Linked DNA regions of Coturnix japonica. The protein of the gene in region 2 purifies or fractionates together with the protein of the main gene of each other region. This does not show direct contact. Links are inferred from orthologs where the notes say so. Each region holds a gene or a part of one and is shown on either strand. Other genes may lie near its edges.

The links. The genes of interacting proteins can lie anywhere in the genome.
Region 1: the proteins of ANKRD28 (region 2) and PPP6R2 purify together in Homo sapiens (co-immunoprecipitation; 4 studies listed by BioGRID and IntAct, counting the BioPlex papers as one, with this or other methods). This does not show direct contact. The link is inferred for Coturnix japonica from reciprocal best matches to the Homo sapiens genes ANKRD28 and PPP6R2.
Region 3: the proteins of ANKRD28 (region 2) and PPP6R3 purify together in Homo sapiens (co-immunoprecipitation; 3 studies listed by BioGRID and IntAct, with this or other methods). This does not show direct contact. The link is inferred for Coturnix japonica from reciprocal best matches to the Homo sapiens genes ANKRD28 and PPP6R3.

The regions. Positions count from the first base shown.
Region 1 is NC_029516.1:601,858-605,425, reverse strand, and holds part of PPP6R2 (serine/threonine-protein phosphatase 6 regulatory subunit 2), read right to left. Parts: intron 3,099-3,568; coding exon 2,985-3,098; intron 2,024-2,984; coding exon 1,897-2,023; intron 707-1,896; coding exon 554-706; intron 320-553; coding exon 116-319; intron 1-115. UniProt on the Homo sapiens protein: Regulatory subunit of protein phosphatase 6 (PP6). May function as a scaffolding PP6 subunit. Involved in the PP6-mediated dephosphorylation of NFKBIE opposing its degradation in response to TNF-alpha.
Region 2 is NC_029517.1:31,165,024-31,168,591, forward strand, and holds part of ANKRD28 (serine/threonine-protein phosphatase 6 regulatory ankyrin repeat subunit A), read right to left. Parts: intron 3,465-3,568; coding exon 3,377-3,464; intron 2,735-3,376; coding exon 2,617-2,734; intron 2,339-2,616; coding exon 2,119-2,338; intron 1,718-2,118; coding exon 1,630-1,717; intron 1,534-1,629; coding exon 1,450-1,533; intron 962-1,449; coding exon 816-961; intron 640-815; coding exon 557-639; intron 1-556. UniProt on the Homo sapiens protein: Regulatory subunit of protein phosphatase 6 (PP6) that may be involved in the recognition of phosphoprotein substrates. Involved in the PP6-mediated dephosphorylation of NFKBIE opposing its degradation in response to TNF-alpha.
Region 3 is NC_029520.1:8,199,188-8,202,755, reverse strand, and holds part of PPP6R3 (serine/threonine-protein phosphatase 6 regulatory subunit 3), read left to right. Parts: intron 1-89; coding exon 90-144; intron 145-857; coding exon 858-988; intron 989-1,828; coding exon 1,829-1,947; intron 1,948-3,370; coding exon 3,371-3,524; intron 3,525-3,568.

The DNA of each region.
Region 1 (3,568 bases), on a different chromosome or scaffold from region 2:
TGGATGTTGGTGGCCCTGCATGTGATGGGCTGTTGGAGCTTTGTTATCCTTGAGGTCCCTTCCAACCTGGGCCATTCTATGATTCTGAATTCCCTGCCGATGTGACCTGACTCACATGTGTAACCATGATATTCTCCGTGTTGTTCTCTGGAGTTTCTTGGTTCTCTGTGGTCACGTTTCCATTCAGCACCTCTTCTCTGCTTTCTGGGTCATTGGCAGTAGTTCTTCCCTCTTGCACAGAGTGTGAGAGAATAGCTGCTATGGACAATTCCACTTGGAAATGCAAAAAGTTATTCCACGTGTATTTAAAAAATAAATCCTGGAACAAAAAGAGAAACAAGAAGAAAGTCATTCTGGATCCATCATCCCACTTCTGGCAATCAAATGATGTCAGAACATTGCCCTATTAATTGCTTGGTATCCTTTAGTAGGATATGGACATAACGTGACCTGCACACAAACCACACTGTGCCCAACAGGGAAAGCGAAGACACTCTCAGCCTGAAGCCATTCCCCACCCCCACCCCCTGCAGTGCCACATAGTGTTACTCACAAGTAATAAATCCATGGTACTGAGTCTGCATAGTTCCTGATTAATACTGGGAGTGTTTGTGTGGAGCAGAGCAGCGATCAGGCGAGAGCCGTGAAGACGAGCGTTGCCCAGCGGCTCCTCCAGGACTCCAATTGTGGTCAGGATCGCTGTTTTCTATAGGAGAAATGGTGGAGAACCTCAGTGAAGGTCAATGAATCCCCCATTGCAGACATACAACTGGTTGATTAAATAGAACCATCTCATCTTCAGACATAAATACTCCATGCAGGCAAAACTATGGTGTCTTCCCACTCAGCAGTGACCTGAGAGCGCTGTGAGGTCTGAACTTCCCAAACATAAGATCAAAACACCCATTGACTCTGTGTTCCCTCCTCTGTGCCCCCCTCACCCACAGCATGGTTGGGTTGGAAGGGACCACAAGGATCATGAAGCTCCAACCCCCCGCTACATGCAGGGCCACCAACCTCCACAATGAACAGCAGCCCAGGCTGCCCAGGGCCCCATCCAACCTGGCACTAAACACCTCCAGGGATGGACGGGGCATCCACATCCTCTCTGGCAGCTGGTCCAGCACCCAACACTCTCTATCAACAATATCCCCCCACATCCAACCTCAATCTTCCCTCCTTCCACTCCAAACCATTTCCCCTTGTCCTGCTGTTATCCCCCCATTCAAAGAGCTGACTCCCCTCCTGTCTGTAGGCTCCCTTCAGGTCCTGGCAGGCTGCAATGAGGTCACCCCGCAGCCTTCTCTTCTCCATGCTGAAACACACCCCAGCTCCCTAGCCTGTCTTTGTAGGGGAGGTGCTGCAGCCCTCTGAGCATCTTTGTGGCTTCCAATGGACCCTTCCCAACAGCTCCCTGTCCATCTTGGGGACATTAGGGGTCCACACCTGGATGCAGAGCTGCAGATGGGGCAGAGCAGAGAGGGACAATCCCTCCCTGTCCCTGCTGGCCCTACCCTCTGCTGATGGAGCCCATGATGCCATTTGCTCTCCAAGCTGTAATAGCACCCTGCTGGCTGCTGCTCAGTTCTCCAGCCACCAGCACCCCCAGCTCCTTCTCTGCAGGGCTGCTCTCAAGCTCTGCTCCTCCCAGTCTCTATATATACCTGGGATTCCTCCATCCAAATTGCCAAAACCTCACACTTTGCCTGAACTTCCTAAGCACTCGTATTACAAACCTGAAGCGTGAATCCTTCTTGTAAAGATTTAAGGTAGAGTTTGCCTTGCCAACACTTGGTGCTTTCAGAAAGTCCTCACAAAACCCATAAATAAGGATGAGGAATCCCCCCCCATCCATCCAGCAGCTGTTTGCTCCTGGGGAAGGCTGAGCCACGTTACCTTGGGAGGGCTGAGCAGCAGCTGGTGGAAATCTTTTAGCCTGGGTTCAATGCCGTGTAAGATGCTGCTATTGACAGTGTAAGACCTTTCAAATCCCTGAGTGTATGAGTCCATCAGTCCTTCCACCCTGCAACAAAGAAAACACGCAAATCAGGGCTTGGCCAAACCTCATATAGGTCTCCACTCACACTGCCCATATCGGCTATTTCCTCTTGAAAGAGAACTCTGAACGTGAAGAACGATCACTGACAGCCACGGAAGGTAACTACATCATCATCTCATTATGTTAATTGCAAGATGATATTCACATCATCATAATTGTGAATGAGTGGGAAGGCAGAGGAGAAGCTGTCTGCGGGGCTGACAAAGATGAATTACTACAGTGCTTACCAGCTTTACAGATGTTTAAGGAGTAAATTGTGCCACTGAATGTTTGTTAAAGCCACTAATGAGTGCACTATAATACTAAGGGGGCAGTTGGGCTCACACCTCTGCTGGTTAGCAGTGCATTATCAGCAGACCCTTCTAACAGCACAGTCTCACATTGGAATAAGAGAAATGCTTGCACTGAAGCAAAGCACCAACAACCTACACGGGCACCTCTATATCTGGAAGTCATTAGCCCTCGGAGATGCAGGGCACAAGGCACAGGAGATGCAGCATCTCAGCTTTTCAGCCATAACCCAGGGTGGTGATGCACTGGTTGCCCAAGGAGGTTGTGGATGCCCCAGCCCTGCAGGCATTTAAAGCCAGGCTGGACGTGGCTCTGGGCAGCCTGGTGGGTGACCCTGCACATAGCAGGGGGTTGGAATGGGATGATCATTGTGGGCCTTTGCAACCCAGGCCATTCTATGAACCATGCACAGCTGCCTAACAACGACCCAACACCATCTCCTGTCAGTTCCTCCCTCTAACCCTCCCCAACCTCCCATCGCCTCCTTCACTCTTCCTATTTCCTCCTTTAAAAGAAGAAAGCGAGATTCTCAGCATCTCCCTCCCCAGACCTTCACCTTTGCTATATCCTTCATTACAAACCAGATTTGAATAGCTAAAACCCTTCTATTCAGGATCGAAGCGTGTTGACTTACCCAGAGCGCCTCGTCTCCAGCAATGTCAGCAGAACCTGCGTCCCATTCACGATGCAGTTCTCAGTCTGCTCTCCATCAAACATATTCTTCAGGAGTTGCTCCACACATTCCTGCCTGTCGGGCAGACGCATTTGGGTTATTAGTCACATTCAACAGCTGCTTTTAATCATAAAAATACCCATTTCTGGGTTTTCTTGTTATTAAGTCTTAGCTTCCACCTTCTTGAATGATCCGAAGCCTTTCACCACCTCTTTGAGCCTTTAAAGCAAGGGAAGCTGCCTTCCAAACTCTAACAGTGTGAGGGCTGAGACCCCCAAGTGCAGTACTGACCAATGCTGGAGTGACAATGAATGACAATAATGGACTTTACAAGCATTTAAACATGAATTTGACATTCAAAGGCCACCTGAAATGACAAACACAGGGCAAAGGCCCCACTTTTCTCCCTGCTATATCTGCTGTGTGTGATTAAATCAAGGCGGGATGAACACGAGGGCTGTGTGATTCCAACCGTGGCTCCCGGTGGTCTTAAGTGATGGTTAATTTAGCGTTCATAGATGGAAAAGGTCAGTGGTGATGCTTGG
Region 2 (3,568 bases):
CTTGTCCTGTCACTATCCACCCTTGTAAACAGCTGTTCCCCTTCTTGTTTATATGCTCTCTTCAAGTATTTCAAGTAATTTCTCCTAATTATTTAACCTAAACCTTAGTTTAAAACCATTCCCTCTTGTCCCATCCACTCTCGTAAACAGCTGTTCCCCTTCTTGTTTATATGCTCCCTTCAAGTATTGAAAGGCCACAATGAGGTCTTCCCAGAGCCTTCTCTTTTCAAAGCTAAACAAACCCAGTTCCTTCAACACTTTCTGATACAAGAGGTGTTCCAGCCCCCTGATCATTTTAGTGGCCCTCCCCTAGACCTGCTCCAAGAGCTCAGCATCTTTCTTGTACTGGGGACCCCAGGCCTGGATGCAGTGCTCCAGATGGGGCCTCACAAGAGCTGAGTAGAGAGAGTGGGACAACCACTTCCCCCTCTCTGATGGCCACGTGTTTTTTAATGCAGCCCAGAAAACAGTTGGCCTTCTGGGTTGCAAGAGCACACTTATCTACAAACAATGATTGATAACACAAAGTACCAGAGAGGTCAGACTATGCATATACCTTGCTGCAAGCCAAATGGAGTGCTGTGTTCTTACAACTATCTTGCAAAGTCAGATCAGCCTTAGCACTGCTAACCAGCACCTCTGCAAGAAATAAAGGTTTGTATTAACTGAAAGCACAGTCTGTAAAGTCTTAACAGTTCACATTTGTGCAAAATGAATATGTTATTTTCACAAAATATATCCACAATGATCAACTGATAAGGTAGCTTCATCTGTTGTAAGATCAACACACTGAACAGCAGAAATAGATACTTTACCAACAGTATTTGTCTGTCCATTTTCTGCAGCCATCATTAAAGGTGTTTTCCCAGAAGCATCTACAGCATTTACTTGAGCATTGTGACTGAGTAGAAGCTGTAGACACTCAACGTGATCTGTAAAAGCTGCTGCATGAAGAGGAGTCCTGAAACAGATCACACGGTCATGCTCAGTTGTGCTTCCTACAGACAGACCTGACTGTAGGTACAAAGAGTGGGCAGTCATTCCCATTGATAGTTGGGATCAGGAATGTTAAGAGACAGGTGCCTTCGGGAAATTACCTTCAAGTTTCAAATACATAACTCTGATCTGTGTAGTTCACAGTATGGATACAATTTGATTCAGAGAAAAAAACATAAAATAATACATAAAATAATAGTCACAAAGGGATGCAATTTTAACTGTGCCTACATGACAAAAAGCCAATTCAGGTTTACTGAATCAGAACTAGATTTTTTTAAAAATCTCGATTTTTTTCTTACTCGGGATTTAAAATAATCTTCAAAGAACAAAAAAGGGGGAAACAGGAAATAATCTAAGTAGTCATAGAAAAAAAACACAAACAACAACAGAATTTAGCAGAGTGAATGCAAGCACTACATACATTCTTCCACCATACAGATGCACACTTACCTTCCCTTTGAATCTGTTGAATTTACAATACCAGCACCTAATGTATCAATTAACATTTCTGCAGCACCTTCATTGTCATTTATCCTACGAAGAATTAAACAAGCTGTTATTTACAGAATGAAAAATCTTTTGTTAAATACTGTGATAAAGTCTATGAAGAATAATTTTGCTTTTCCTTACACAGCACAATGCAATGGACTGAAAGCGTTCCCTTCCATTTTCTGGAAAACTTCTTGTTCCAGGAGGAGTTCTACACAGCTGTCGTGACCTGAAGCAAATGCAGAGATAGGAGTGAAGAAGAAGGGAAAAGACCTACTTATGATTTAGAAAAAATATTTATCTAAATCAGATTAAGCAACACTTTATTCTCGAGTTTTAAAGTAGTTTTAAAGTATAAGAAACTTCTATCAGTATTACCAATTGTATGTATTTAACTGTCACGCCATTTGATGAAGGAGAGGTTTTGCATTAAAAAGAATATGTGCTTGTCAGGAGAAAGTATACAAGAATGTGAAAACGGCCAGCATCTCCACTATTTGATCCTCAATTTTAACTTCACTGCTGAATACTTAATTCAGATTCAGAATGCTTTAGCAGTACTGGAAGTCCTTTATGAGACACTATGCCTACAGAGAGATACATTCCCCCACAGGACGCTTCCGTGTTTACCATTATAACAGGCCCAGTGCAGCGATGTATAGCCATGATTGTCTGCTATTGTAGGTACTGCATCCACAGATGTAGCTGACTGCAACAGAGCTCCTAGAACACCTATATGTCCACAAGCAGCTGACAAATGTATAGGGGTTCGCCCCCTACAGTCTCTTAATAAGGACTTAGCACCATGTTGAAGTAGTGCTTCCACACATTCCTCATGCCCAGTGACTGCCTGTGAGAAAGAAATGAAACAAGTTTGCAAATGTTCATGTAGTGAACAACGGAAAAAAAACCAGAAAACCAAAACTTATTTGGCACATATAACAATTTTATTCTATCTATTAACAATCTCCCCCACCCCATGACAAAAAGTCGTATTTTGGGTCTCCTGCAGTCAACAGCTTTTACAGCAACATTACAAGACTCAGGAAATCCAACAGAATTACTAAGCCCGTATTTTAACTCAGCATGTACAATACTGGAGAAGAAAGAAAGGAAATATTCTCTTACCCCTCTGTGTAATGCTGTCCTTCCCCACTTATCTTTGGCATCAACGTTTGCTCCTTTGTTAAGAAGTGAATAAACACAGTCCGTGTGCCCATTGAGAACGGACAACATCAAAGGAGTCCTACACAGAGAGGGAAATTAAAGCGTAATTTACACGGAAATCTAACAGGCCAATGCTCAGCTGGAACACACACAGAACGGCTGAGGTTGGCAGAGACCTTTGGGTTTACCAGGTCCAACCCCTGCTCCAGCAGGAACACCCAGATCAGGCTACTCAAGCTCATGTCCAGGTGGCTTTTGAAGATGCTAACAGAGGAGACTATATAACCTTTTTGGGGCAGCCTCTGTGCTCTGTCACCCTCACAGTAAAGAAAAACCTTCTGATACTCAGATGGAACTCCCTGTGTTTCAGTTTGTAGCTGTTTCCTCTTATCCTGGCACCAGGCACTACCAAAGAACACTGAAAATTTAGACTATCAATGAGCTTCTGTAGCACCACCTTAATTCCAAGAGTACCAGGAGATTCAAGAAAATTAATTTATTTCCACTAATTCAGAATTCCTGGCTGAAATATTCCCAACTGAACAAGATATTTTTCACTGCCAAAGCTGCTTATTGCAAAATACACACTTGTTTGTCTTAGTTCAAATATCACCTCCTTTGATAGCAACAAATTAAAAATCACCTATGTAAAATCTTATTTTTGCCCTTTTATAAAGTGAAGCAATTTGTGAATATTAGAATGTACATTTTTAAAACTTACTGTCCATTTCCATCTTGAATATCCACTGCATTCTGTGGTTCCGCATTTCCTATCAATAGTCGCAAACATTCAGAGTGACCGTTTGTAGCTGTAAAACACCAAAATATCAGTTTTATGAGAATTGTCTTCAAGTTTGCAGCAGAAAGAGAACAGCAACTTGCTCATACTAAGGCTCAATAGTTTGAGAAGCCA
Region 3 (3,568 bases), on a different chromosome or scaffold from region 2:
AGTGTAAGTAAGGACTTGTGAAAGTGATGTGTCCTTGTGTCATAGCATCGTCTTTCCTTAGTGTATTTCATGCATCATTTATTTTGCAGCGTTTCTTTTGATCGAGTCTCAGACATCAACTTTACCCTCAATACAAATGAAAGTGTAAGTATGCATTCTTGTGCCTGCAGAAAAATTGCTGCCTCTTAAACTTCTGAGTGACCTTTAAGTTTTGTTAGTGGCTTTTGTTTATTGTTTTATGACGTACGTATAACGTTAGGAAAGTAACTACACCTTATTCCTGCCTTGTGGGGTTTTTCTAGTTAGATTACTTTATTGCTGTTCTTTATGGTTAATATTAAGCAAGTGCTTCTAATTTGTGTGTCCAGGTTCAAGAAAAGGCTTGGATCTAGTTAGTGCAGACTGCGCACGCATTTTGAACACAGACGCTGTTTCAGCATTCTGCCAAGATAGTGGTGACGGAAAGTGAAGAACAGAGACTTCTAGCATATGTGCTGCATGTCAGTTGAGCTGAAATGATACAAACTACAAACAATAAAGCTGGAATATTTGCTGTTGCAGTTTTGTGGAAAGCTCTTTGTTGTCACTTACTCACCATTCTGAATTGCGATGGAGCCTCCCAGCAGTTGTTGGATGAGTGCTCTCAGTGTGTTAGCGGTTGAGTAAAGCAAATTCCACTGTATGCTTTCCTGGGAAGCATAAAGCTGTCAATGTCTTCTGGTTTTCCAGTGCTTACTGGGTGGTGCTTTTTCTTCCCCACAAGTTAAAGATTCTCTTCAAACCAATCATTTATTTCCAAAATACTTGAAGTAGAATAATCAATTATAAAGAGAATTTTATATTTTTCCCGTATTTAGGGCAACATAGCATTGTTTGAGGCATGCTGTAAGGAGCGGATACAGCAGTTTGATGATGGTGGTTCAGACGAAGAAGACATCTGGGAAGAAAAACATATTGCATTTACACCAGAGTCCCAGAGACGTTCCAGGTAAGACATTTGTGTTTAGCACTATAGCGAGCCCTTTCTCAGGTTGGCTGTTTGCACAGGCTGTCCATCTTCATTTCCATTCTTTAGAGAAGATGGTAGAGGGATAACTATTGTCTTTGTTTGAGCCTTAATTTGCTTAACGTTGCTATCCTGACTACTCAGTTCTTTCTGCATCAAAGCACGTTTCCTTTTTTTTTCCCTCTGCTTGGCCCAAGGCAGCCCTACCTGTGTAGGCAGACCTTGCTATCCTACAATGCTACTAGGTTTGGAGTATCCACTTCTGTTGCCATAGTTGCACCTAATCATATTGCAGCTGTGGATAAAACTATACAGGCAGCTGCACTGAGGGAAAGGAACATCTGTTCCCCAGAACTCAGGGCTATGCAGCCTCCGATGGCTTCTGAATTTTGTCCCAGGATAGCTTTGGATTTTCTGACCTTCCTGTGATTTGAGTCCCAAACCACATGTGCTTTTTCTGTTGTGGCCTTTGGAGTGCATGGGGCTAAGCCCTGTACACAAGCAGTTGTTTTGTATGTTGGCATTGTGCATGCCTAGGTGATGTGTTTCAAGGATGCGCTTAGATATGTCATTACCTAACTGTTAATGCTGGTTGTGCTGACTAGGAAGGGAGATTCACCTCTAGGTTTCAAAATATATATGTAGGAGGACAGACTGGAATACATTTGGGTTTGTTTTCAAAATAACTTGTTGTCTTACATTGATCTTGAAAAGAGTTACAATTTAGCAATAACTGCTGTGTTTCTATTAAGCCTCAAACTCTCTAGCATTCTTTTGTGCCCAGGATCTAATCCCATGTAAACTGTCTCTTTGTTTTTTAAGTTCGGGCAGTACGGACAGTGAGGAAAGTACTGACTCTGAAGAAGAGGATGGAACAAAACAAGATCTGTTTGAATCGCACGCCAGTACGGAGGACAAAATGGAAGTAGACTTAAACGAACGTACGTAGCTTTTCTGCCAACTGCTTGGAATTATAGGAAGGTGCTACATTTAGCACAGAGTTATTTTGTAAGAGTTTTCCTCCTATTGTTTTTTATTCCAAGTATCTTAACCTCTCTCACTGTAAAGACCGTGTGCTGCACAGTTATGCAGGTACTGGGGAATCAAAATTCTTTACATGTCCTGAGCAAGTTACTGCAGTCTCTCTAAAATTCACACCTTACTCTTCAAGAGGGAAAACTGAGTAGAAATCAGAATGGGAAAAATGAAAATCAATTTACGTATCTCGTATGCTTGCATACCTGATAGGTTGTTAATCTCGGAGCATAAAGTATGGCTGTTCTTAGTAGAAGTTTTTCAGACCAACACTTCATCTTAAAATGTTCTTTTAAAACGCATTCTACAGAAGGGAAATAGATTTAGATCGGTGTCGTTTCGTATGTGAATAATCCTGTTTACAGTGTGTATCAGCAGGGCTCTTCCTTGGAAAATTAACTGTTGTAATTGGCCTAAGAGTTCTCATAATCAAGTTGTAAACTAAACTTGCTTTACTTAAACTGGCAACGTCTGTAGGCAAAAGCCCTGTGTTTATCTAGACTGTAAGGAATTAGAAACTACAATAGAAGGAATAGTTAAGGGTTTTCTTTTCTTTTGTCAGATTGGTGTCGTTGGCATCTGTGTGTCAAACAAGTTTTGATCCATGTGGGTCTCCTCCCATATCTTCCTGGGTTGGAATTTCTAATTGCTAGTCAGAGCTTCCTTTTCAGCCTGTTTTTTTGTATGTAAGTGTTGATGAAGAAAATGTTTCCCTTGGGTAGGTGATGTATTTTGAATTGACCTATCCTAAATTAGATTTTCTTAAGTCCAGACTGCTCCAAAATTTAATATCCCAGTAAATATTTTAAAGTTATAAGGGGTTTTAAGCTTTTCTGAAACTTAGCAGTGCTGCTAATGCATGAGATAGTAGAGACCGCCTGTACCTGCATTGTCTTGTTCATTTTCTGTGCTGAGGAAAATGTGCATAGGAAACTGAAGAAGGGATGGAAAACCTGAAGGTGCTGTTTGTTTCGTTTTTTAAGTGTAGAAACTAGCGCTGAAAATCGACAACAACCATTAATGTTAGGTTAAGGAGTAAAGTGCAACTGCACTTGTAATCTAATGTAGTTTTTGTGTTCCTCAGATTTATGCTATTGATTTTTCTCTCAGTACTGAGAGTTACCAATTCTGCCTTACTAGCAGAATTTCTCATAGAGAATACATTCGTGCTTTAACTACGTAGAGAATCCATTTGCATGTGCTTTAAAATGCAGTTAAGAATTTTGCTGCTCTTTTTGGAATGTGCACATAGAGAATGGGTGAGTTAGGCATATGTACATTTGTATTCTTCAAATTGGTTCCTAATAAATTTGCTGGTTGGTTTTCTAGCACCAAATTGGTCAGCTAACTTTGATGTACCCATGGAGACTGCGCATGGTACCAATCTGGATTCTGTTGGGTCTGATGTGTGGAGTACAGAAGAACCTATGCCAGCCAAAGAAACTGGCTGGGCTTCTTTTTCAGAGTTCACATCCTCCTTGAGGTAAGAACAGTGATGATACAGGGCGAGTATTGTTGGGGTGTGCC